Coturnix japonica: one gene and its partners. The protein of the gene in region 3 interacts with the protein of the main gene of each other region in a pairwise test. Links are inferred from orthologs where the notes say so. Each region holds a gene or a part of one and is shown on either strand. Other genes may lie near its edges. The genes, in order: DPYSL3, GSE1, TNIK, NEFM, GOLGA4, SRGAP3 and WWC1.

What was found.
Region 1: the proteins of TNIK (region 3) and DPYSL3 interact in a two-hybrid assay, tested with the Homo sapiens proteins (2 studies listed by BioGRID and IntAct). The link is inferred for Coturnix japonica from reciprocal best matches to the Homo sapiens genes TNIK and DPYSL3.
Region 2: the proteins of TNIK (region 3) and GSE1 interact in a two-hybrid assay, tested with the Homo sapiens proteins (2 studies listed by BioGRID and IntAct). The link is inferred for Coturnix japonica from reciprocal best matches to the Homo sapiens genes TNIK and GSE1.
Region 4: the proteins of TNIK (region 3) and NEFM interact in a two-hybrid assay, tested with the Homo sapiens proteins (2 studies listed by BioGRID and IntAct). The link is inferred for Coturnix japonica from reciprocal best matches to the Homo sapiens genes TNIK and NEFM.
Region 5: the proteins of TNIK (region 3) and GOLGA4 interact in a two-hybrid assay, tested with the Homo sapiens proteins (2 studies listed by BioGRID and IntAct). The link is inferred for Coturnix japonica from reciprocal best matches to the Homo sapiens genes TNIK and GOLGA4.
Region 6: the proteins of TNIK (region 3) and SRGAP3 interact in a two-hybrid assay, tested with the Homo sapiens proteins (2 studies listed by BioGRID and IntAct). The link is inferred for Coturnix japonica from reciprocal best matches to the Homo sapiens genes TNIK and SRGAP3.
Region 7: the proteins of TNIK (region 3) and WWC1 interact in a two-hybrid assay, tested with the Homo sapiens proteins (2 studies listed by BioGRID and IntAct). The link is inferred for Coturnix japonica from reciprocal best matches to the Homo sapiens genes TNIK and WWC1.

What each region holds. Positions count from the first base shown.
Region 1 is NC_029528.1:247,325-251,482, reverse strand, and holds the start of DPYSL3 (dihydropyrimidinase-related protein 3), read right to left. Parts: upstream 2,801-4,158; 5' UTR 2,778-2,800; coding exon 2,487-2,777; intron 1-2,486.
Region 2 is NC_029526.1:15,702,065-15,705,215, reverse strand, and holds part of GSE1 (genetic suppressor element 1), read left to right. Parts: coding exon 1-29; intron 30-1,353; coding exon 1,354-1,934; intron 1,935-2,572; coding exon 2,573-2,685; intron 2,686-2,921; coding exon 2,922-3,151.
Region 3 is NC_029524.1:17,398,789-17,402,288, reverse strand, and holds part of TNIK (TRAF2 and NCK-interacting protein kinase), read right to left. Parts: intron 2,722-3,500; coding exon 2,557-2,721; intron 656-2,556; coding exon 416-655; intron 1-415. UniProt on the Homo sapiens protein: Serine/threonine kinase that acts as an essential activator of the Wnt signaling pathway. Recruited to promoters of Wnt target genes and required to activate their expression. May act by phosphorylating TCF4/TCF7L2.
Region 4 is NC_029537.1:2,110,435-2,114,368, forward strand, and holds the start of NEFM (neurofilament medium polypeptide), read right to left. Parts: upstream 2,801-3,934; 5' UTR 2,748-2,800; coding exon 1,683-2,747; intron 1,489-1,682; coding exon 1,364-1,488; intron 255-1,363; coding exon 1-254. UniProt on the Homo sapiens protein: Neurofilaments usually contain three intermediate filament proteins: NEFL, NEFM, and NEFH which are involved in the maintenance of neuronal caliber.
Region 5 is NC_029517.1:77,612,169-77,615,668, reverse strand, and holds part of GOLGA4 (golgin subfamily A member 4), read right to left. Parts: intron 3,431-3,500; coding exon 3,410-3,430; intron 3,216-3,409; coding exon 3,147-3,215; intron 2,561-3,146; coding exon 2,485-2,560; intron 1,428-2,484; coding exon 1,324-1,427; intron 1-1,323. UniProt on the Homo sapiens protein: Involved in vesicular trafficking at the Golgi apparatus level. May play a role in delivery of transport vesicles containing GPI-linked proteins from the trans-Golgi network through its interaction with MACF1. Involved in endosome-to-Golgi trafficking.
Region 6 is NC_029527.1:16,731,003-16,735,132, reverse strand, and holds the start of SRGAP3 (SLIT-ROBO Rho GTPase-activating protein 3), read left to right. Parts: upstream 1-1,330; 5' UTR 1,331-1,495; coding exon 1,496-1,562; intron 1,563-4,130. UniProt on the Homo sapiens protein: GTPase-activating protein for RAC1 and perhaps Cdc42, but not for RhoA small GTPase. May attenuate RAC1 signaling in neurons.
Region 7 is NC_029528.1:7,316,148-7,319,647, reverse strand, and holds part of WWC1 (protein KIBRA), read left to right. Parts: intron 1-718; coding exon 719-795; intron 796-1,703; coding exon 1,704-1,783; intron 1,784-2,672; coding exon 2,673-2,802; intron 2,803-3,402; coding exon 3,403-3,500. UniProt on the Homo sapiens protein: Regulator of the Hippo signaling pathway, also known as the Salvador-Warts-Hippo (SWH) pathway.

The DNA of each region.
Region 1 (4,158 bases), on a different chromosome or scaffold from region 3:
ACAGTGGAATGACTTCACTGTGCCTGAAGCCACAGCTCAGTTTTTGACTTTCCAGTAGATTTTGCAATGAAGTAAAGTGAGGCTGAAACATCTTCCGGGTACTGTGCTGCACTGATGGGTTTTATGTCAGCACAGGGCAGTTACACATTTCAGTGTCTTCCTGCAGAAATAGTGGTGCTTTAATTATAATTAATGCCATTAAAAAAGAGATGTTGTGTTGGTGTCATAGAACGGTTGGGTTGGAAGGGACCTCAAGGATCCCTTCCAGCCTCCAACCGTGCCACCACAGGCAGAGCTGCCAACTTCCATATCTAATTCCAGACCAGGCTGCCCAGGGCCCCATCCAACCTGGCCTTACACACCTCCAGGGATGGACGGGGCATCTGCAGCCTCTCTGGGCAGCTGTTCCAGCACCTCACCATTCTCGTAGTAAAGAAATTCCCCCTGACATCCAACCTAAATCTTCCCTCCTTCTCCAACTATGTGTTCACAGAATAATTATCTACCTGCTGCCCACTGCATGATAAGTCCTTCACTCTCAGCTTTCCTAACAAACAGTTGCTTGGTCAAGGGTAGATCACTTCACCTTTTCCTCTGTTTCTTAATCTAGAAAATATTCAAAGAAGTTCAGTTTATCTCAACAAAGGAGTCTCTGTGTGCTCTGAAACTGCAAAGAGTTCAACACAAGCAAACTCTTTGTGGCTGCACAGACACAATGACCAGCCATAGCAGGGGGTCAGTGCGCCAGAGGGGCCCTTCCCATCGGGGATGCTACTCTCAAGGGCACTCCTGAACTTGGAAGTTGTAGGAAAAAGTCATATGATTCTTTCTGGCCAGGCAGCAACAAGAACACTTATACGTGAAGCTTCCCACCCTCTCAGGCAAGAAGTGTAGATAAAAAGGGCTCAGTTGCTGATGCTTATCAAATGGAAGGCTTCAGAGGAAGAAATCTGGAAGCAGAAAACAGCAGAAAGAGTTGCTGAAGAAGGGAAATCTCAACTGCAAAATTCTGGTAGAAGGGTCTAAACAAGACCTTAAAAGGGAATGAGACTGCTCCAAATATTGGTACAGCTAATTAATGAGAAGCTTGGAGAAAAGCCCACAGACACGCTGCTGCAAATCTCTGTTTCTTTTTCAACAAGCGTCAGTTTAATGTTATTTCAGTGGTCAGTTCTGCAACTGTTAATCAAACCATACAGACAAGGCTGGCACTGATAGGAGCCGGGTAAAGTTCATTCCCACAAGAGCAGGAACAACCAGTATGCCAGTAAGAAACCTGAAAGCTAAGACCGAAGAAATGAAAGTACAGTGAAGAAACCTCAAAGCATCCAGCTGCCAAGCTATAAGCTCGTCTGGAACACAGGAGACCTTGAGAACAGCTTGATGTTTTTCCCGAACACCAATACAGGCCAAGTCATTGCACAGCACTGCTTCTGCACCCGCCGGGCCCCAGCTGAGCTCAGTGCTCCAGATCAGAAGGGAACTTTAGCAGTGGTTGTGCTCTGGGCATAAGATGGCGTTTCTGCAATATCACATCACTTCTTCAGGTTAAGCTGCCCTCTTGCTGCTGAGTTTAGTGATTTTTGCTTCCAGTTTTAAAAATGGGCTTTATTGATTAGCCCTGTTCTCCCTCGAAAAACAGTGCCCTTATTATTGCTATTTACTACAAATGTTCACCCTTGTACTCGTTGAGCAGCAGGCCAGCCAGCAGCCTTGTGTGCATCACATCTGTATGTGAGCACCAGACTCAGTGAAATCCCAGATGACACGCTTACTCAGCACTATTAACTTAAAAACCCTCCTGCCAAACTCACATTGATGTATATTGGCATCAGAGCCAAAAAAGCAACATCTGGCTGAAGAACCTCGTGCTGTTAAGACTGAATTTATTTGTTCATATGAGTTTGGCATGAGTTCAGAAACACTGTGCCCGACGCTGCCCTTCAGAGGTGCCACTTCCAGGTCAGCGTGAGGTCTCTGGCTTCCGTGTCACAGTGAGATCAGGGCTGGGCTGAGATTATTCCAAAGAGCAACTCTAAAATCCCTTTTTTGGGGATGGGAGAAGAGGATGTCCAAGAGTACAGAAGGAGTAACTGTCATAAAAAGAGTCAGCTACTCTAACGCAGAGCTTTCTTAGTAATGGGGTGTGTATCTTCTGATTGTATTTCCAAAAATCACTGACATGCCAGTTCGCAGAGAGGAGCTCCGCACGCTGGAAGATAACAGGAAAACTTTTCTGCTTCCTTTAAGGAAGACCGAGAGGAGCTGCAGATCCTCCTCCTGCTAAAGCAGAGGAAGCAACAACGCACACAACAGCCCGAGCCGCAACAGCCGCGAGTTACCGCCGCCAGGACGGAGAACGGCAGCGGCGCCTTCTGCCGCTCCCCCGAGCCCGACCCGCCCCGCAGCCGAGCCCGAGCCCCGGCCGGGCGCCGAGAAGAGCTCCCGCCCCGCGCCGGGACAAGCTCCCACCGACCGGCCCGTACCTTCTCGTCGTCGGGGGACACGTTCTGCAGCCGCTCCTTGTCCGCGGCGGCGCGGACCTCCCCGGGGTCAGTGTCCGGGACGGCGGCGGGGTCCGGTTCGGGGCGAGCGGCGGTCGGCGTGGCACGGCGCTGCCCCACGCGCAGCGCGCCGAAGTCCAGGGTTTTACTCTCGAAGGCGCCCTCGACGCTGCAGAAGAGGCCGCCGCGCTTCTGCCGGGGTACGGCCGCCGTGCCCGGCCGCGCCAGGTACACCGGCAGCTCATCGCTGCCGCGCCGCCCGCCCGCCGCCATGCCCGACCGCCGCGCCGCCGGGGAAGGGGCCGGGGCTGGGGCGGGGGCTTCCCGGCGGGGCGGGGTGCGGGCGGGAGCGGGGCGGCCCCAGGGGCAGGCGCGGGGGCCGCTCGACTGGGCGGGCCGGCTGCCGGCAGATCGGGGCCGGAGGTGTCGTCGCCGCCCGCGGGGTCGGGAGCGGCAGAGCGGGGCCGTCGGGGCTCGTTTCCTGGAGAGCGTTTGCCGGGCTGAAGGCGCTGAGCTGAAGCCGCGGAGCGGATGACGGGGCGCGTGCGACCGCGCCGCGCGGCACTTCGTCCCGACCCTCCGGTCCCGTCGCCGCCTCGTCCCCGGGCCGGGTCGGGGCGTTGAAGCGCATTGCGGCGCTACGTCCGCCCGCGGGCGCATCTCCAGCGATGGAACCGGGTATCCAGGGTGGAAACTCAGCCCATCCCGCTGCTGGCTTTGCTGGCAGTGCTCACTGGGGCTCACTCTCAAGGAATAAGCTCCAGTGTGAGCACGCGACTGACGAAGATGGCACGTTGGTGAGCTTTTGACTTCATGGCAAAGCGGGCGCTGCCTGCAGGCGGCTGTCACAGGTACAGGGCAGTGTGGCATCGTGCTCACATGTGCGGTCGCTACAGGAGCACGTTGTCAGTCACACCTTACAGATACACGCAAGCAGAATCTGCTGCAAAAACTGTCGTGCAAACACAGCCAGAAACACGAGCTGCACGTTCTGGCTAAGTTCTGAGATTTCCATTGCAACTTCATTGCAAAAGCACGGGAGTCTTGAAAGACAGAGAGGCAGAGCTGAGCTTTAACTATGCAAGTTGGTGTTTAATTGAGCCTGTCAAATTCATCACATAGCAGCAAAACCAGAGTACTGACTTCAAATTATTTTTCCAAGTACTTATTTTTGTTATAGAACATTTGTACAACATACCTGGGCTTAACATCCTTCCAAGTCATTTCCTGCTCCCCCTGTTTGTGTTATGAGATGCTGTTGATTATGAGAAAGAAAGAAAGCAGTACAATTGTCTGCATTCCTCCAAGGATTGGTGGTTCTCACATAGGAAAAGTGTCCATGGAGCCTGACCCCATCACAGAGAACAATGACCCCGTGGTGATAGTAGGAGAGGCACATTGTGGGTGCTGGCTAACAGAGGCCTGAAGCTAAGGGAAGGGAAATGACTTGGAATTGTTTCCTTCCTTTTGTGCCCTGGGAAGCAGCCTGCATTTGTTTCTGAATATGTACCACAATAACCAACTCTGCCCCTTTTTTCCCCACCTAAGCAGAACAATTTTTAGGACCTTATATTTTTGACCAATTATTCAGGTCCAAAGGGCCAGGAGAACAAAGGGCTCACTACATATAAATAGTCATGAACACTGTGTGTCC
Region 2 (3,151 bases), on a different chromosome or scaffold from region 3:
GAGCCCGAGCACCGACCTGACAACCCCAGGTAGGGCTGCACACCCCAAGTGGGTTTATCCTCTCTGCCAGGATGCAGGATGCCCCTTTCCATGCTCCCTCTGCCCATTTTCCTGCTGGTTTCATAGGATTTTCCCATCTCGCTGCCATTTTCGCCACCCTGCGAGCTGGCTCTGAGCAGGACGAGCTCCCCCCAAGCTCAGCCTTCATGCTTTCCCCCCCTGCACCAGGCGAGCTGTGTGTCCGGTGCCAGCAGGTCCCCGCCGTGCTGTGCCAGCCGGGCCGGCTGTGCTGGCAGCGCCGTGCGGTGCCACTGCCTGACATCTGCGCGGCAGCAGGCGGTGAGCCCGGGAGGTGGCTGGGGGCCAACGGCGAGCAGCCAGGTGCTGCCGAGGCAGCGACATCGCTAATTGCAGCTTCCCCTGTGCAGCCTGAAAGCTGCTTCTCTGATAGAGGGGATGCGCAGTAGGATGAGGCGAGGGGGGCAGCCCGTGCCCACAGCTCTGCATTGACGCGGGTTTTCTCGCTCTGTTGCTGAGCGCTCTGGTGGTGTGGGCTTATCCAGTCGGCTCTGCTGCCGGCTCCCATTGTTATTTTTGGATATCAAGGGGATTAGCGCGGCTAATCGAGTATAACAAGGAGCGGATTGCGGGGCGGCACAATGGCAAGTGCCTGCTGCAGCCGCCCGCCCCCATCCACACATCCCTCCCCAAAGCAGGGAGGAGACATCAAGGTCACCCTGAGCACAGCAGTGAGTGTGTGGGGGGGTGTTCTTACAGCCTCATCTCCCTCCTATCCCATCTCCATCTTCATCCCATCCTCATCTCATTCCTACTCCTATCCCAGTCCCTTACTCAGCATCCTGCCCAGCCCCTTGTAAGTGCTGCCAGAGACCCCCAGATGGTGGGGAGGGATGGGGACAGGGACCCTGCTCTCCACTGGGGCAGGTGATGCCCTCAGCCCGCAGTGCTGGTGCCTGCAGGAGCTCTCCATAGAGCGATGGCAGCTGTGACCCGACTGGCAGCACTGAGCCCTCCCTGCTCTGCTGCACAGAGGTCTGGAGCGCTCGAGTGGAAAAGCGTTAAACGCTCCTCTCCGGAGCATGAAATATTTATCCTGCTAACAGGTTTGCTCCTTCCCTGGGTGTTTAGGGAAGGTTTCACTGTAGTGTCACTCTGTGTGCAGTGAGAGCCTGTGCCATCCCGGTCCCACAGAGGGGTCCCCTGCCCTGTATCCCGTTCCCAACCCTCCCCCCTCCACCACGTGCATCCAACAGATCATTTCTCCATAGATCCAGCTTGCAGAGAGGATTTGCTTCTCCTCTCCATCCCTCTCCTCTCCTCTCCTTCCTGCAGGTCGGGACCAAGCCGCCACGAGCCGAGCATCCGCGAGCCGGGGCAGCACTTTGGTGGTCCACCACCACTCATCTCCCCCAAACCCCAGCACCACCCCATTGCCACATCCCTCTGGAACCCCGTCTCCCTGATGGACAGCCCCTCGGAGCCCCCCCGGCGCCTCCCTGAGCCTCACATCCTCCACGGCCACCCGGCCCCCTTCGAGCCCAGCCGGCAGGGCATCCCGCTGGTGAAGGTGGAGAGAGTCTTCTGCCCCGAGAAGCTGGAAGACAGCTCAAGGAAAAGGGATGCGCTGGACAAATACCCCGTGCCACGGGAACCCAGCACTGCAGAGCACACAGGCTTCACCCACACACCATTCCTGGCCGAGCTGGAGAAATCCACGCAAAGCATCCTGAGCCAGCAGAGACCCCCAGCCACCCCTTTTGGGGAGGTGACCAAGCCCAGCTCGCCCTACAGACCCCCCCAGCCCCGCACGCAGGACCCCATGTACATCTACGACGAGTTTGTGCAGCAGCACCGCAGGCTGGTCAGCAAACTGGACCTGGAGGAGCGACGACGACGGGAGGCCCGGGAGAAAGGTGAGGAGGGGGTTTGGGACCCCCCACCAGGACCCCAATGGGGGAGGCCAGGAGGGGGCTCCCCAGTGATGCCATCAGCTCAACCCGCAGGCATTCGATGCAAGTGCTCCCGAAAGCCAAATCAGAGCGGCTTGGTAAATCCTCCGCTCTAGACATGCCCAATTAATAAATGATGAACTGAGGCTAATAAGCTGGCTTTAAATATTAATAGGGCCGTGCGAGCGGGGATGTGAACAGCAGCGAGGAGGAGATGGAGCGAGGTGTGGGGGCAGCACTGCCATCCCCCCTTGTGCCCCATTAACCTGCTGAGCCCGGTGCTCCCCATCAAGGCAGGCAGTGGTGTCCCCAGTGTCCTTGGCACAAGGTGCTCCTGGGCTGTGTCCCTCCCTGGTGCCCCAGCAGCAAAGGGAAGAGTCAGCCCTCCCACTACAAGCAGCCCACAGAGCCATAATTCTTCCAGTCCCCCTGCAAAGCCATCCCAAAACAGAGCTGAGCTGGGATGCTGTGGTGAGCATCCCCACCCAGCAGAATCCCAACCATTCCTGGGGTCCCAGCAGCTTCCCAGGGTCCCAGCAGTATATATGGGGGGGTCCCAGCATGGCCCCCCTTGGCTGATATCAGCTTCTCCCCATCCCCAGGTTATTACTACGACCTGGATGACTCCTGTGATGACAGCGACGAGGAGGAGGTGCGGGCACATCTCCGCTGTGTGGCCGAGCAGCCCCCGCTGAAGCTGGACACATCCTCTGAGGTAAATGGGCACAGCACTCGGCTGGATGTGGGGCTGAAGTGGGACTGGGGATGGAAATGGCAATGGCAATGGGGTTGAGGATGGTGACGGGATGGAGATAGAGCTGAGGTTGAAGGTGGAGATGGGGATGGAGATAGGAATGGAAATGGACATGGGATGGGGATGGGAACAGGGATGGGAACAGGTGCTGTGCTGCTGTGGGGCTGACCCAGCTCTGCTCTCCCCTCACGCCCCAGAAGCTGGAGTTCCTGCAGCTCTTCGGCCTCACCACGCAGCAGCAGAAGGAGGAATTACTGAGCCAGAAGCGGCGCAAACGCCGGCGGATGCTGCGGGAGCGCAGCCCCTCTCCACCCACGGTGCAGAACAAGCGCCGCACGCCATCCCCACGCCTCCCCCTCTCCACCCGCTACAGCCCCGACGAGATGAACAACAGCCCCAACTTCGAGGAGAAGAAACGCTTCCTCAC
Region 3 (3,500 bases):
CTGGACCAAAAGGACCCATCTTATTGCGCATGATGAATTTTATGATCCTGTAATTCTATTTAAACAGAAGGTCGTTGTTTTTTTTCCTAGGGCAAGGAGAAATTGATTTGTTTTGGGCTCGGTCCGGGCTCAAGAACCTTCTTTGCTGGAGGGCAATGCTGTTTTGCAGTGCTGTGCGTGTACCCGTAAGCAGCTCCCAATGTCTCTGCAGCTCATGCAAAATCTGCAGGGTCAATCCCCTGCTGCGGAGCCACAGCAGTGAGCCTGGCCAGAGGTGCTGAGCACAGCACCAAAGCACAGCACCACAGCACAGCTCCACTGACTGACAAAGAGGACCAGTGTCAGCCCAGTCCTGCAGGGACCAGCTCTGGGATGGCCTCTTTGATGTGCTGAAAGCGAGGAGCAGTAGTGTTACCTTTGGTGGAATGTCTTCCTCCTGCCGTAACCAAGAACTTCGGTCAAACTTTTCAATGCGAGGGGGCAGAGGAGGGTTTTCTGAGGTGGGGTCCGAGTTCTGCCTTGGCATCTCAGTGCGGTGAGAGGTCACCGTCAGAGCCTCCTGAAACCCAGCCATCCCCTTTGCAGGCTGTTCATGCAGTGACTGAGACCCAGACAAGGAGCTTCCTTGGGATTTCACAGTGACCAGATGTGGAATCTAAGCACCAAGTCAAAACACAACTATCAGTACAAAATGGGAAGGGAAAAAAAAAAAAGCGGATCAAAAAGAGAAAAATCAAAAACGTGATTTTTAGGAAAAAAAAATAAAAAAATCAATTAGCACATTGGATGCACTAAAAAAGCCCCCTTGGTTTGAGATCAGCACTGCCTTGGTTTCAGGAACTTCTGACTTACATCACTTCAATGCAAGAACTGTTAAAAATCATGCTCAGCACTTGGAGATGGGGAAATGCTGCAGTCAGAGCCACGTCTCAGCTCTGCACAGGCACTGGGATGCAGCATTAACTCACAGCAGCACTGAAGGAGCGCAGGCAGGGTGCCCTGGGCAGCTCACACACATGCCATGCACGCCTTGGGCTGTGCCCACCATACGCTCTATGTCAAGCTCCTACATCTGGTAACTCTAGGGTTGTGCTGATGATGTTTGGCATGGAATTTCCTCATTAAGAATAATAATTAAGAGAAACGACAGTAAATAATAATTACAAAAAAATAAGTTAAAAAAACAAAAAAGCGTCAGGAATTCCGAGGCATAGATGGCTTAAAAATGAATCTTGAGGCATGAGTTTCTATAAGGCTACAAATCCCATCCCTTAGATCAGGTCTACAGATCTAAGGCTTATGAGTGAATGAAAGGAACGCTGACATCTGGTTTGGAAAATCAGAAACACTCACAGCATTTGAGTTTATGAGCTTCTTCTCAGAACCCTGCGATATCTACCACGACCTTTTCCTTGCTACAGCAGATCTGTAATTGGTATTTTGGGGGAAGCATGGCAATTCTACATACATTTATTTATGCATGGATATGCATGCATGTGTGCAGACACACGTATTTACATGGATCTCTGAGTTTCAAGCAGCTTTTTCATTGGTGCTTCATTGTCAAGCAAAAGCCTTTATAGCTGTTGACAATATTGATCATGAGAAGAATCACTGAAAAATATTTCCAGACTTGAAATCAGGAAATGTTTGGTTAATCAGAGACATCACTGAGAAGTCTGCAAAGTGGAGTTTTACCCACTTCCCAATGTCTATGATGCATACAGAATGCATATGCACTGGAGAAGAAAGAGCTTTCCACTTAAGGGCTTTCCAGCATGCGTTTTGTTTGAAATCACTGCAGTATTGCTGACCTATGGGGGCACATACTCCATGTGGATGGCCCTTTATTTCCACATTTTCCCATAGAAAGCCCAACTGAACGTGGAGGAAAGGCTCTGTTCTCCGTGAAATGCCTGTTCAAGTCTGCACACCCACAGGAGCACTTCCAGTGGCCAACCCAGCGCTGATGCTCCACCAACTTGCTCCAGAAGCCTAGTAACAAACCTTGCAACTAGGGTAACTTAAAAGCACAGTTCTCCTCTTCTGCAATGGTAATGGTGATTGATCTATGCCTTCTCCAGATGTGTTTGTGACTGATGTTAACTCAATGGAAAAAAAGAAACAAAACCCCCAAATTGAAGTGAGAAAGAAAGTAAAACCTCCTTCTGATGATGCCCAGCATCAAAGTGCCCTGGGTTATTGTACCAAGCACTGTGGTTTCAGTCCTTTAATAAAACAGATTTAAAGAGGAAGAGAGAGACTGCTGCACTGGACCAGACCAGCAGTTCCTCTCAGTCCTCCAGCTTGTTTCTGGCAGTAACCAGGACCTGATGCTTCAAAGGAAGGTATTAACCAGCGTGATGTTTCTAACGCATGAAGGTGACAAAGATCAACTCATGAATGCAGATGCTGCTTGCTCTACCTCACAAATATGCTTCAGGCTAAGACATAACAGAGCAAGATGCTACTTTAACACTACTTTTCCTTTTACCTTATCGGCACCCCCGGCATCCTGGGTGCTGTATGGACACCAGTTAGGGGAAGCACCATTACCTGCGGGTCCACGGGTCTGAGCAGGGGTGGGGTCCGCGCTGGCTGCACGCTGCTAATACTAAAGGACTCTGAGCGAGGAGGCAGGTTGGGGTCTGAAATCCTGTTGGCCACCTTGTGTGGCATCGCCGGCGAGCTCTGACGGTTGAGTCGGGAGCGCTCCTCCACCTGCAGGAGGAGGGGGTGAAACTGACTGGTTATTTGATGAATTTCTTGGTTTATATGAAAATCTCATCTTTGATTTGAAGAAATGGTTGTTCAGGGTACTGGGTTTTAATATGGACACAGAGAGAGGTCCCTGTGGTCCTGCTACATTGACCCGAAGCTGAACACAGCTCAGCTCCCACAGGCTGCTGGTGCAGGCAATCAAATACCATCAAGAAACCTGAAAGGAACCTCCAGCTTCTACAAAGGTAAGGAAGACCCAGAAAGAGCCATTTTTAACTGAAAGCCAAGGTATGCAAATCTACAGGAAACTCTTTAGTCTTTAGATATATCTGGGTATTGTATGACTAGGGGACTCCTGATACCCAGCAGACTGTGCAAAAAGTGTGTTTCAAAGACTCCAAAATGACTATTTGTATTTCATGCGCATAATTCATTTCTGAGCGTGAAATGGAAAATTAATGCTCCAGGATGATGCAGCACGCCTCAAATATGTATTTCTAGAAGATGACTTCTGAGAAGCTCTTGCTTCTTAAATGTACCTGTGAGCCAGGGGACCCTACTCCTTCACTACTATGAGCCCCACAAGGAATTCTTTTGTTTGATCTGAATAAAAGAATAAACATGGCAGCCAGAAAATGGCTGGCTTTGATCTGAATTTACTGAGTCTGGCACCTTGTCATGTATGGAAGGAAAAGAACACTCCATTACTGATACAGAAATAAAAACAAAGCCCAGCTCTCTCAGCTAATCTTGATGGAAACATAATATCTTCAGGTAGC
Region 4 (3,934 bases), on a different chromosome or scaffold from region 3:
GAGCCTTTGCTGCCATTTCTTCTGCGATAGATGCAAGGGCATCTTCCATTTCAGACTTCTCATCCTCTACTTTTGTCTCTTCGATGATTTCTTCTACAAATTTGTGCTGGACCTTCAGCTTTGGTGGCTCGATTTTGGTTTTCTGTATTTTAGTGGAGGCTATTGTGACCGATGGTTGTCTGTGTGTGAATATGGGTCCAGTGATGCTTCCAGAGAAGGCACTGAATCTTGTCTCCTCACCCTCCAGCAGCTTCCTAAGAGAATCAGGAAGGAAAAATAGTGAGCATTAGAAACCCAACCTACGGGACAATGTTTCTCTCTGTCAGCAGGATGAGGTCAGCGCATGTAGAATATGCTAGAGAAGACCAGCACTATCCATCGCTCACAGCCCAAGATCTGCTTCTCTCTAATCAGCTCTTTCAGTAAATTCTTACTGAACAAGCACCTTTTGGCTTGCTTTGCATGTAGCAAGCATATCACCTTTAGCTGAGCAGTTGAAATTCATCCTTTGCATCAAAGAAAGTGATTAACTCCATAGGACGCATCATGACTCAGGTGAACTGAGAATGGAATGGACCCAAATGGAACATCATTGCTGAGACTTTCAAAGCCAGCCAAGCATACACCCAAGCTCATTGTAGGCACCCCCACCTCTCTGCTTTTAGCCATACAATGGGGCTGCAGAGCAATACAAGTCACATCAGGCAGCAAAGAGCTGCAGAGCCTATAATGCCTATGCTTGCCTCAACAGCCTCAAGTTCACAGAGATCTGAAAGCAGCTTTCTCTTTTGACTGTTTTCATATTCAAATGTATATTTTTCATCTAAGCCTCTGACCCAGAAAAATCAGCAGTTCTGATGAGGTCTCTGAAGTGATGCAGAGAGACCAAAAGCCTGCCAGGTGATGGCAATAGCACACAGCTTTCCTGCTCCAGATCAGAGTGCGTGACAAAGGAAAGTTGAGCAAGAAAAGCAAAAGTGTTTGTGACAAGCAGGTTAGCGCTGCCTGCTTAAACCATGATCAAGCAAAGCACAGCATCTCTCCCAAGTGAGAAAAGTGACAAGCACCGCTTGCAAGGCATATGCAAAGTAAACAGGAATTAAAAATAAACTCATCTACTGCAAAACAGGCGCAGGGTGCAGCACTGAGGTGCAGTGTGCATATAGGGAGTTCTGCATTGTCCTCCTGGCTGCAGACACTTTTGAGTCTGTGCATTGTGAAAGGGCTGCAGTACTTCAGTCAAGCTCTAATTTGGCTCGTGTTCAACGCATACAGATACTTCTCGCTGGTGGTAAAGCATCTCAGAGCAGCCTCTGCAGTGCTATTAATATTCCAGACATGCCCACAACGATCCCCCTGTTACCTGTATGCAGCAATTTCGATATCCAGGGCCATCTTGACATTGAGGAGATCCTGGTACTCCCTCAAATGACGCGCCATCTCCCACTTCGTTCCTCTGAGCTCATTTTCCAGCTGATGGATCGTGTCCTGCAGCCGAGACAGAACAAACCATCACGACAAAGACATAAAGAAAGGGAAAAGGGGGAAAGAAAAGTTGCGGCGAGACTTTCCTAAAGTCCTTCCCACCCACTGGGCGGCAGCAGCGGGTTGGGACCGCACCCCCGGCTTTCCCCCCACCCGCATCCCGCAGCCCCCAGCCCGCACCCCACTCCCCGCAGGACCTGATAAGTGGTGAGATCGTTGTTGTGACGTTCCTCGATGTCGCTCAGCTGCCGCTCCAGCGACTCCTTGGTGCCACGCACCGACTCCAGCTCGATGCTCTTGGACTGCAGCTGCCTCCGGTACTCGGCGATCTCCTCTTTAGCGGAGCGAATGGCTTCCTTGTTCTGCTCGGCCGCCTCCGTCAGCTTGGCGTAGCGGCACTTGAACCATTCCTCGGCCTGGTGCATGTTGTGGTCGGACTGACACTCCAGCTGAGCGCGGATCTCCTTCAGCGCCGTGGTCAGGTCCGTCTTCAGGTAGTCCTTCCTCTCCACCGTAGCGTGGGACGCCTGAAGCTGAGCCAGCAGCTCGGCCACCTCCTCCTCGTGGTTGCCCCGCAGAAAGGCCACCTCGTCCTGCAGCGACTGCACCTTCTTATCCAGCTCCGCCCGCATCAGCGAGGCCTCCTCCATCTCCTTACGCAGGGCGCGGATGGTGGCCTCCGTTTCATCTCGCAGCCGAGCCTCATCCTCGAAACGCTCCCGCAGCCTCTGGATGTCCTCCTCGATGTGCTCCGAATCCAGCTGGATCTGTGCCTTCTCGTGGCTCACCTGCTCCAGGGCCCCGCGCAGCTCCCGCAGCTCCTGCTCGTAGGCATCCCCCAGCTGAGCCCTCCCGGCGTGTTTCTGCCGCAGCGCCGCCAGTTCCGCTTCGATTTCCTTGTTCTGCTGCTCCAGGTAATGCACTTTTTCGATGTACCCCGCGAAACGGTCGTTCAGCCCTTGCAGCTGCTCTTTTTCATTGGAGCGGCTCAGCTTCAGCTCGGCCGCCCCGTTCAACAGCGAGGACTGACTCACGTCGAGGCTCTCTGCGGAGCTCAGCACGGTGGAGCCGTAAGCGGTCCGCGGAGCCCCGAGGTTGGTACGTTTGTAGGACGAGGATACGGTGCTGCCGGAGCCCCGAGACCACGACTGAGAGCGGAATCCGCTGGACGGGGACGCGCTGGCCCGGCTGTACGTGGCTCGGGTCTCGGTCATCACCCTGCGGTACGAGGGGTTGCCCAAGGGCTCCATGGTGTAGCTCATGGTGGGGGCACTCGGGGGGTGGCGGACGGAAGCGCAGCGCAGCTCTGGATGCCGCTGCCCCTTTTATAGCCCCGCCGGGCGGCTCCGGGGCGGCCCCACACACGTGTGTGAGGATGTATCCGCCCCCGACCCTGCCTCAGCTCCGCCCCTCAGTTCCGCCCTCCCTTCCGCGCCTCCCTCATCCCATCCCTTCCCGGCCCCCGCTCCCAGCTCCCGGCTCCCCGACCCCCGCTCCCCCTTCCCCCTGCACCCTCTTTACCCCCTTCCCCCCTACCCGCTGTTTCCCATTCCCTATTCCATATCCTCTTTCTCCTTTCCCTATCCTTATCCTCCTTTTCCCATCCTCTTCTCTCTTCCTCTTTCTCCCTTCTTCCCTTCTCCGTGTTCCTTCACTCATGCTTCAGCCCCCTTCTCCCCTCACCTTCCTTTAGATCTTCACTTTCTTTCCTCTTTCCTCTTTCCTCTTTCCTCTTTCCTCTTTCCTCTTTCCTCTTTCCTCTTTCCCTTTCCCTTTTCCTTTCCTTCTTTCCTTCCCTTTTTTCCTTTCCTTTCCCTTTCCTTCTGTTCTTTCTCCTCCCCCGCAGTGGCCATGGCGGAGCGCAGCGCGGTGCCGGAGCCCGCAGGGTAGGGCCGGGGCCGGGATCGGGGGTTCAGAACCACGGACAGCTCCCCCGGGGGTTCAGCACCACGGACAGCTCCCCCGGGGCTCCGTCGTTGGCCCCGGGCGGGGGTAGGGGTGAATAGAGGGTCCCATGGGCAGCCCCCTCCTCATTTCCCCCCACCAACTCCCCCCGCCCCAGTTCCCCTTCCTCAGGCAGTGGTTGACATTTGAAGGTCATAAAAGTATCCGGGGAAGGGAGACTGCGTGGGCTGCGGGCGGATTTGCAGCACTGCAAGCGCTTTACCTCCCTATGGGGTAGGGGTTGCAGGTTGGGTAGTGCTGGAAAGCTCCCTGCAGTCCTGGATCTTGGTTCTTTATCTCGCTTTCATCCCCTTTATTCCTCCCCCCACCTTACCTTTCCACATAACGCTTGGTGCATTGCTTAGAAATGACTTCTCCTACTTTGAAACATTGCTAAGAATGATGTTTACACGGTGCAGTAGACTTTCTGTGGGCTGCATACGGTGACTTGCAGTAGCTAACAGCCAGACTTTGAACTCCTCGTGGATGGATCAGCTACATGGGC
Region 5 (3,500 bases), on a different chromosome or scaffold from region 3:
AATTACATAGAGTGCAATCTCCAGGACAAATACATACTCACACAAATATAAACATCTTTTCATCAAAGCAACTGAAGGAATGCTTCCTACCTGTAAATAATATGTACTAGTCATCCATTACAGTACAGTCTCAAGGGCTGGCTGAAGTTGGAACATAGCCGACAAAGTTTGTTATTGTTGTTAGGGTTTATTATTATTATCATTTTCTTGTGTTTAAGTCCCTTGCAATTCAAAAGTGTAATATCCAATAATATATATTTTTATTTAATGATTTCTAACAGACGCTATTAAGGTAAGAGAGCCATCCAATGAGCCACAGGCCTAAGAACAGAAGCTAACTAGTGATTCTGGTGGTTGTTTTTGGATCCAGAATTTGTATTTTTAATAAAATGGGAGTTAAATAGTGAAATAAGAAAAGGGATAAAAAGAAAGAGGAATCTTCTAAGGACAAGAAGTCCTGTGTAGACCAAGATTTATTCCATAAGGAGCACAGTTAACACAGAACCCTGCATAAAACCTTTTTACTTAGCAACTGTCCAAGTTGAAAGCAGTACAACAAAGAATGGAAGAACCCCAGGGAAGAAAAAAAAACCCTATATTCATCCACATCCACACAGCATTTGTCATCCAAGAAAAATGTTTGTGTTACGACATACCTCCTTTGAAGCTGGTCTTAGCATCAGTATTGTTACAAGCTAGTAAAATTCCAACATAGGAATGATTTCACAAGCTTGTCAGCATACAACAAGGAGCCTACTGTGCAGCTTTTCTCTGCTTTTAATAGTAGGTTAATACTAACTAGTGAAGGTACACAGATTTGGGAGTCTTATAAAAGATCTTTAAGGAACAATTTGAAAAAAAAAAACAAACAACCCTTCATCTTCAGAGCTTGTAACAGGGTAATACAACTGTAACTTAATCATATTTGCAACAAGATAACATCACAAAAGTAGTTTGCTAATACAGTGCATATCAGCTTTCAAAGTCCAGTAAGCCTGACTGACATTAAGTCTTCTGCTGGTAAAATAACACCTACCTGGAGGGCTATTTGTTTCTGTAAGTGCCTTGGTGAGAGATGTGACACACACTCCCCCTCCCTGGTGTTCTCTCCTTTCACTCCCCCTGTGTTTTATCTCAGCGTTCCAGAGAAGCTGGTAAAGATACATGTCTCTTTCTAAGAAAGCCCTGAAAGTCCATTGAGTCTTTTTACACAGACAGAAAATGCATGATGAATTGCCATCATCATGGCACTTAAGATCAATACAGCAAGGAACGTAACTTCATTCTAACCCACATCACATCACTGTATACAACTTTCCATACCTTTGTCTCACGACCCATCATATATTCAAAAAGCACTTTCCTCAAGTATTCAAACTCAGTGGGCTCTCCGAAGAGAGAAACGTCAGTATGATGAAGATTTCCATCTGTGTAAACAAAAATAAGTATATTTATACTAAGAGTAACTCATAAGAATGTAAGTTATTCATAGTCAGAAAGTCACTGAAACAAAATGTAATCAAGTATGAAACATGGGCGTAACAACCATAATTATGCCAGATGCCTAAAACCTACTCAGAGCAATTTCCTGAAGCATAAAACATAATGGATCAGCACAATTAAAAATCCTCAACAACGTACTACTCATGAAGTTTCGTTTTTAGCTTTAGCTGTCTTACAGACTAGGTGTAAGGCTGGAGATACATACATGGAAACAAAAAAAAAGGAGTACAAAGTTAAGAAAAAAAAAGGCATTGGTGAATATGCTAGGAAGTTGTATACCAAACTATGACTACCTTCATCAAGTTCTGCAAAGACAGCAGTGAAGAATAACTTTTCTGAGGAATATTTATAGAGAATAAACTAATAGTTTAGCTTTATTCTCACCAAGATGGAAGATAGAAAGATTCACAATTTAACATAAACCCAGCATCACAGGCCAATGGCAAATTAAATTAGGTGTTGGACTAATTTGGATACAAGTCTTCAGGGAAAGTGGAATTTTGATAGAGAAGAAATGGTCCGCAGAGAGGTTAAAGATAATAATAAAGTGATTTGCTTAAAGTAACTCCTCAAGACAACTTTTTAAAGGAGTGCTCTTAATAAATATGGATACAGGAAGAAAAGTAACAGCACGGTAATCAAGGTGTCAGAGCAGATCTTGGAAAGGGCATTTAGTTATAAGAATAGCAAAAGTCCAAACATGCAACACAAGAAAGCTTTGTGAAATCTAATGATTGCATATTTAAGATTTTTTAAAGAGTCAAAAATTGTATTCAGTTAAGCTAGGGTATAATTCCCCTCCAGCAAATTTTCACTGAAACTGCCTCTATCAATTCCCCAGAGATAACAGATTGCTGATACAGAGCTGTTTCACTTGTAAGATAAATGTTTCAAAAAAACCCCAGATATATTAATGGATTCTCTAAACAAAAGCATATCTTTCAAATAAACAAACTTGTGTGATGAAAATTACATGCATACCTCTGTATGGTGTTCCAACTGATGTGACATACATTTTCTTTTCATAATTTTTTAGTCTGTCTTCCAGTACATGAATCTAGACAGAGATGAGTCATGATCAGAACTGTTGAAGTTAAAAGTAAGCATAAGAAGTTCCAGCTAAACATCCTGAAATTCTAGTAGAGCAATTTGCCCTCAAATAAGATATTAATAACTGTGCCTAACTAAAGAAAATTGTGTACACGTGCATATAGACACACCAAAATATCTATACACATACATATTCATATACCTATATTCATGTGATATATACATATATATACATACATATACATATATTAAAACACAGATATAACATTATTTACTTATTTTACCTAAAACCAGAAAATCTAGTTTAGAAAAAGTGGGAAAACATAATTTCAAAAAGGACATTTGTAAATTTTCATTCTGCAGATGTTTTTGATAACCTGCACCACTTATATTTGGTATTTTCATACCCTGGGGACCGAGAAGTATTTTGACAATGTGCATAGATGTATGAGCCAAAACTATTTTACATGTATTAGTATTATACTTGCTGTATAGAGCTGTGCTACATCATCAGTTGAAAGGAACCAATAGTTTCAACTGCAAGTACAAATAATCAGATGATGTTTTTTCCTTTGTTCAAACAGTGCCCTTACCTGCTCCCTGAACTCCTGCTCTTTCAACTTTGAATCGTTGACTAGCGTTGTCTTCTGTGCAAGCTGTGCCTGAAAGAACAGCCACATACAGAAAATTTCAAAAAACTCCTGAACATACCACTTTAATAAGCTTTTAAGCTTTACTTTTTTTTTTTAACTTTCAATTCACACGAACTTATAAGCAGTGCTGCTAGCTTCAAAGTGATGTGACATAGCATTACATAGAAAACGAACATTAAAAAAATAAATAAATCAAAACTTACCTGAAGTTCAGCTATTGCTACCTAAAAGAAAAAAAAAAAAAAAAAAAAGGATGAAAACGTAGGTATGAAAAAAGAAAATACTAAATATCTC
Region 6 (4,130 bases), on a different chromosome or scaffold from region 3:
GCAGAAGACCCTGACTATTATAGAATTACGTTTACTTTCTGTTTTGTTTTGTTTTTCTTTCACCTTTGTATTGCAGATTGTTTGGGTAAAAGTTGTTTTCCAAGGCCCCAATCATGGCAGTCTTTGCTGCACATTGAATATCGAGTTGCAAACTCTGTACTTTAAAGGTATGGAATTACTACATCACTTAACCTTGATTTGGGAAATTATGTGGCATTATTTTATACCACAGATCTTTGCTTCACTTCCCAAATTCACTGTTGCCAGAGATTTCCTGGAGAATTCCTTCACACCTCCCAGCTCTCCTTGGCATCCTCCCACCAGCCCCACTCCAAGCACGGCTCTTCTGCAGCAGTGCCGCTGCCTCTGGCTGCTCTTTGGCTCTTCTTATGGCTGCTTGAAGCTCGGAGTGCTCCTCTGTGTTGCAGGCCAAGGCTAGGTAAATTATTTGTTTAGCAGGCTTGGTTTATTCTTTGTAAGCTGGCAGAATGGCTGTATCACCAAATCCCCTTGCATTCATTGGGCTTCACAGGGACAGCAACAAAAGGATTCATTGTGCGGAGCAGCAGCGTGAGCTCAGCTGGGACCAGGAAGATGACTGGAGGCCTGATGCGATGGGCTGGGAGTGCAGGCAGAGCACAGGGAGCAGCGTGGGCCACTCCGGGATCTGCTGTGTCCCTGTGCCACGGGCACCTCAACTGCAGAGAGCGGCTCTGCTTGGCCAGGGCCCCGTCCGGGCACCTTGCTGTGAGGACACGGGCAGCTTTGCTCCTGGGGCTGGGAGATGCACTGTGCTGTGCTGTGTTATGCTGTGCTGTGCTGTGCTGTGTTATGCTGTGCTGTGCTGTGCTGTGTTATGCTGCGCTGTGCTGTGCTGTGTTATGCTGTGCTGTGCTGTGTTATGCTGCGCTGTGCTGTGCTGTGCTGTGCTGGGCGCTGCCACGTTTGGTTCGACCCTCGGGGCCACGCAAACCTCCCAACACCTCTGTTACTTCCTGCACGCTGTCTCGCGGCCTGCCCGCCTGCCTGGGGCCGTCCCGCTCCGCTGCTGCTCCTGCGGTACCCAAAGCATCGCACGGAGGTGCAGACCCAGCAGCAGCAGCTCCCGACGGCACAGCCGCGGCCTCCAGAGCCGCGACAGCCCGGCAGCACCCCGGGGCCGCGCACCGCCTCCGCCCCGCCCCGCCCGCTGCCCGGCTCGGTGTGTCGCTCCGTCCGCCGGCGGAGGGCGCGGCCCGCAACCTGAGCGCGGGAGCGGCACGGCACGGCCCGCCCAGCGCCGCACGGAGCAGCGGGGCGGGGCCGCAGCGCGGGCGGGGCCGAGCGGGGCCGGGCCGGGCCGGGCCGAGCCGTGCCGTGCCGTGCTGTGCCGTGCCGTACTAGGCTGGGTTCGGCTCCGCGGCCGGCGGCGCTGCGCGGTGTCCCGGCCCCGCCGATGCGGCCCGTGGCTGGGTGAGGCGGCGCGGCCGAGCGCCCGCCCGCAGCCTCCCGAAAGATGTCCTCGCAGGGCAAGTCGAAGAAGGACAAAGAGATCATCTCGGAGTACGATGCGCAAGTGAAGGGTGAGCGGCGGGCGCTGCGGCGGGGCCGCGCCTTTGTGTGCGGGGCCGGAGCCGCGGGCGGTGCGGGGTGGGCGCGGGGCCGGGGGCAGCGCCGGGCGGGCTGAGCTGAGCTGAACTGAGCTGAGCTGAGCTGAGCTGAACTGAACTGAACTGAACTGAGCTGAACTGAACTGAGCTGAACTGAACTGAACTGAGCTGAGCTGAACTGAGCTGAACTGAGCTGAGCTGAGCTGAGCTGCGGGGCCGCCGGTGGGGCCGCGCCGTCCGCGATCCCCGCTGTCGCGGCTGAGGCGCCCTCGGTCAGCGCCGGTGGCTGCGGGCTACGTCGGGGCGCGGCGGAGCTCCGGGCGCAGCTCGGCAGGTGCCCGGCGCAGGGCGGCAGTGCGGGAGTGCGGGCGGGTACGGAGCCGGGCGGGGGCCGCGGGCGGGGAGCGGAGCTCCGTGCGGAAATCTGAGTCGTTCCTGTGTGGGTTCCTCCGTGTTTCTCTGGGAAAGGCTCGGATCGATCTGGTCAGGGAGGCCCTGATCTTGCGGGTCTTACGTAAGGCACCTCGGCGTGCGGCAGGCAGCGCTGCCAGGGGACATGGTCGTTATGCAAGCCCGGCTCTGCAGAACCAAGGCGTCAAAGCGCAGCGCTGTATTCGTGGTGTTAGAGTACAGCACCATCCGAGGTAACGTCTGCTGGGACCGCTGAGCACCACGTATCAGCTCCACCTTTCATTCAAGCTGGGCTTGTTGTGTGGAGGTCGGTGCTCCCCGAAGCATCGCAGATGCCTGCAGTGTGGTGGAAGCATTGCATTGTTGCATGTGTGCAGCTGGCAGAGTGCGGGGCCTCCTCTGTGCCATAGAAACAGGGCATTTAATGGCAGTAGCCAAGTGTTAACTGGTGTCCATCCATGGATAACTTCAGTTTGTGAGTGCGTCGGTTGCAGTGTCAGTCTGTGACTCCAGCTATCGGTGGTCCCTTCCCACACCCTGCCCAGTCATTGCGATGCCCCCCGCGCTGCCCCCTGCTGCTGCTGGCACACGGAGCTCCCGCAGCCTTCGGGTGGTCGTCCTTACGGGCACCATTTTGTGTTGTGCAAGTCTGTGCTTAAGGCAGAGCTAATTAAAAACACAGCACGAGCTTTCTGAGAACGAACCTGTGACCACGAGAGCCTCACTTCCTTACTTTCCCTGGAGGTCACTGTGGTTGGACCTTGAGCTCTGCAGGCACCGGGTGCTGTGTGCGTACCCTGGTACCCTGCGTGGTGCAGCGCTGCCAGGCCCTGGGGAGGGGCTGCCTGCTGACACGGTGCCATTGTTTATTTTCTTGCATTTCAGTCTTTTGTAGCTGGCTTTGAAGAGTGATGTAACAGTCACAACACACTCTGCTCAGTGCCAATTACCTTTCTTGTGTGTAATTTGGGCACACTGATGTTATGGCACCCTGCTGTGAGGCAGACGAAGTGTTCTCTCAGCCCGTGGTGCTGTTCAGTCCTGCAGGGGGGATCCGTGTGTCCACAGCTGCGGGCGGTGCTGGGGCACTGCAGGGCTGGGCAGTGCAGAGCTGGGTCACAGCTGGCTTGGGGCTGCTCTGCTCCATGAAGTTCTGCTGCAGACGTCTGCGGTGGGTTTTTTTGTGTTTTTTAATTTTATTTTACTGTGTTTGTAACTGGAATATTCATTTGCTGCGATCACTCTTGGCCTGACATCTGTTGTAGCCTCATGGGCTCCATATGTTGGATCATGAATGCCAGGGTTATGTATAAAGATGGTTTATTGCAGCATGGTGATCACGTCTCGGGCTGATTTCTGGGCAGCGGTAACACAGGCAGAGTGCTGGTGGGACTGTAATCATTGTTTGGTGCTATTGTGTGCCCAGTTACGTCTCCAAAAATGGCCATTTTCTGACTGAGGGCATCCACTCTGCTCTTGTGTCTCAGCAGCGGGCAATGCAGGTTTCCCCACATCTAAGGCCAGGGGGATGCAGGAGCCAGAGGAGCCCTTGGGGCGGCTGCATTGGTGTCACACAGCTGGCACGGGGGGTCTTATTGTCACCCAAGCCCTTGAGGGTAGTGATGTTGACACAGATCCTGCCTCCCAGTGCCCGCTGCCCTTGGCTCAGGCTGCATCGCTACCCCAGGAATCTGCTGCTTCACTTCAGGGGTTGGAAGATGGACGCACTCTGCAGTGGGCTGCCTCTGAAGGTGTCACATCAGAGATGGCCGAGTGCTGGCCAGGGGGCTGCCAGCACACAGGGGACTTGGAAAGCAGCAGCCATCTCGCAGTACTGGAACACGGGGTTGTATGAGTGTTGTAGAGAAGTTTGACAGGTAGGCTGGCAAAGCGTGACAGCGCAACAACAAAGAACAATATGTTGCTTAGGAAAGTTGTGCTGGCAGCCCTCCTGCTGGGGCCATTGTTAATGGTGACAGGGGATGGTGTGTGATGGGTGTGGGGCTGAGCTCCTGTGCACAGGGCACTGCCGTGTCCTAAGAATTGGTAGGTGCACCATTTGTGTGGGAGGTGTGACTGGTGTAAGTAGGATTTAACTGGAGAATTCTCTTCCTGCACAGGGGTGTTGTA
Region 7 (3,500 bases), on a different chromosome or scaffold from region 3:
TCTTTTCACTCTCACTGGATTATATATTAAAGGTGGTGAATCTTGTGCCTGATGTCAGAAAGTATTTAAGTAGTCTTGTCATTGAGGGGTTCTTAACATTTGAATAGGGTCCTGTCATCTCTGAAGTAAAGTGTTTGGTCTCCACCGAAGTGCTGGTGTATTAAAGCAATAGGTTATGAACTTGAATTGCATTGGTGTGGTGCTATTTGTAAAAATACAACCAAAGAACTAGGAATGTTTTCCCATGTTTTGTATGGCATAAGCTGATGGCTGCAAGGATCAAAGTAACTCCTTTGCCTATGGCTACTTTTCATGACATTGCACGTTGGGGAGCTTCTGTACTTTCTGAAGCATAAGGGTTTTAACTGCTGCTGAGAAGAGAGTTCTGCTCTTAATGGGGTGCTGATTTAATCCAGTGTGACACATTGGGTGATTGGTTATGTCCTCAAGCCTGTGAGAAGGCTGGCATCACCTTTCGTGTTTTTCACTTTCCTTTGTTTCTGAATATTCAGGGGATTGTTTATACAACCAGAAAGTGAAAAAAAAAAAAAAAAAAAAAAAAATCCTAATGCACTGTTTCCTTCAGTTATGATAAATTCTTTTAGAAATGCGAGAAGTGAGAAGAGAGATTCTAGTAAGCTTGATTCATAGTTTGGGGCTGATAGAAGAGTAGGGGAGGATGATAAAGCTGCTAAATTCAGTGTTTGTTTTGCTCTAGTGCTGTCTGGCTCATCGTCAAGTTCCAAGTACGACCCAGAGATCCTCAAAGCAGAGATTGCTACTACGAAATCCAGGGTAAGAAGTACAAATGGACTTTCACTTGCCACAGGCAAACTTCAGATATTTCCAAGCCTCATGAAAAATATTGAAAGGTGACTCAAAAGCAATTGAAAGAGCTAATTTGCCATTCCTTATCTAGGAGATAAAATATCAGTATTCTCAAATGTTACCGGCTTAGATTGAAACAATTGTTTTCCTAATAGACTTTAGACTTCCTTGTATGCTGATAGTATGTTTTGCTCCATTTAACTGCATGCTCTCTCCTCAGTGCACTGCAACACCAGAGAGCTACAACGAGCTCTCTCCAGAGAATGGCAGCTGTTTTGTCGAGAGCTCAGTGCAGATTGTTAGCAGTGGCAGTGTGTTCTCTCATGCAGAGCTTGGTTTGGAAGAAGAAAGGACTGAAGTAAAGTAGGTCAGTCCGGCCTCTGTGGAGGAATATAAAACAAGCTGTAGGGTCAGTGGATTTACAATATGTTTTATCAGCCTGCTGTGTTACTCGTGCAGTGAGGCCTTTTAATTTGATATCTTGGAGGATGGTTTGTATCATTGCAATGTAACTCCAGTCCTGATACTTAACGTTTTTTAATGTCTGGAAAGGTTTTTAACATCAGTGAGTAAAATCAGCGTGTGTTTCATTCCTGACTTTTGATTTTATTTTATTTTTTCACCACATTTTCTGCTTGTGAGATTAAGCTTCTTGTGAGCCACTGTTTAAATAATGTGGTATCTGGGTGCTGGATAAATCCCTAGACACTGAAAATGTCCTGAAGAAGATGCAGTCAGCTGTTAGTTGCTGATGCAGTGATTATCTGCAAAATGTATCTAGATAATACTGTCTACACACCAAAAAAAAGTATGAATTGAATGGTTACTTCTGTGCCTAAATACTCATGTGAGGTGTTGTTCTTAACTTCCTACAGGTCAATAAACTAAAGAGGGAGGTAGCTCACATGAAGCAAGAAATCCAGTACAAAGAGCATGGATTTCAAACGCTGAAGAAGTAAGTTGGATCTGAAGGTCTTACTCTTGGTTACGTTTCTGGCTTGTAGTACATCCCCTTCTTCGTTTACAAATAGCTGCCTGAAAAACATAAGCTGAAATCTGTTGCTGCTGAGATCTTTAGGCACGTGCAACTCAAATCCATGGGGTTATTTCCTTCAATTCTGTGCCTGTATGTGATTAGCTGGATCAGAACTGAGTTCATGGGGAAATTACTTTTATACCTTTTGATTGTACCTTGGTTCATTCTGTTGCACTCAATTTTTGTCAACTTGCTTACAGTACAGACTATTGTCATAGTAGAAAAAGACAGAAAAAGATAAATAGATAAAATGAAAAGAAATTGGGGTGGGGATAAGCTTCAGGTGCTTATCTCTCTGTGAATAAACGGATGGCATTTTATAAGTAATGTCACTGATATAGTGTCCTGTAGTTTTCTCTCAAGTACCAACTTAAGTAAATAGTCCTTTCAGAAGAGGGCAGGATAAAGTGGTTTGTGATTAGCTTGTGCCTTTAAATATATCAGTGTGAGGTCTATGCTTTAAAATAATATAGTTAGCATACGATTAACTTACCTGCTTTAGAAACAAGGTAATTAATAGCAGTCTGTCTAAACTGTTTTTTTCTGTTGTTTTTTTTTCTCTTGTCTTTTTCCTCCCTAAAGATTCAAAGCAATTACATGGCTAAAATCAGAGTTTTGATGTTTAATGTATTTCTGAGTGAAGTGGCTTAAAAGGAACCAAGAACTCCAATCATCACTGCTTGTCTATGTTATACTTAGTGTGTTTTGTTAAAAATGATTGTCAAGCTGGATATGTCTAGGCTGATTTATGTAATGCACTTCATTTAAAATGTTGGCTTACTGTATGTTTTCTCGAATTTCTACGCAGTATTGACATGAAAATGTCTGATACTCAAGGTGGCTACAAACTTGATGAAGCACAAGCCATTTTAAGTGAAATGAAAGCTCTCAAGAAGGCCATCACATCAGGGGAGAAGGAAAAGCAAGACCTCATTCAGGTACTGAAACAGCTTTCATAGCATTTTGTCCCTGTTAAATTTTTTAAATCTATATAAATTATTTCGGTTTTCAGACATGTCTTTTAATATATCATTATTATATATTATATATAAATTGTATAATGATATATATATATTAATCTAAAGTAGTTCTGTATTGTGACTGGACCTTAATTTTCAGACTTTGGAAGTACAAAAAAGTAACATAACTGACAGTAGTGAGCACTTGGTTAGAGATGTGCTGTTGTCTCAGGGTTTCTTGAACAAGAATGAAGCAGTGTACTTGTCTGTACTGCTGTCAAAGAGCAGATATGCAGAAACCATCAAAACACAGTGGCCCGTTTGGTCTGTTTCCTCCAGCAAACTCCCAGCAGAGAACATGTGGGCATGAGACTGTGTTAATGTTCTCTGTGCTCAGCAGCACAGCAGCCTCATGCTTTAGGAGGTGCGGTTCAGCCTTGCCTGGCTTCACGTTTGCAGGGTCTGACTGTATGCACTGAATAGTCAGATCCTTAAATCACATAGTTTCAGTCAGGATTTATAGCTGCCAAGGTATTTTGAGTGAAAGTGAGCTCATGTGATGAATTTTTATGGTTTCAGAGTTTAGCCAGATTAAAAGACAGCTTTGTGAATGACAGAGGATCACAGTCAGACCTGTGGGCCAGCAATGTGTCCTTAGAAAGCTCAAGCTCTTCGTT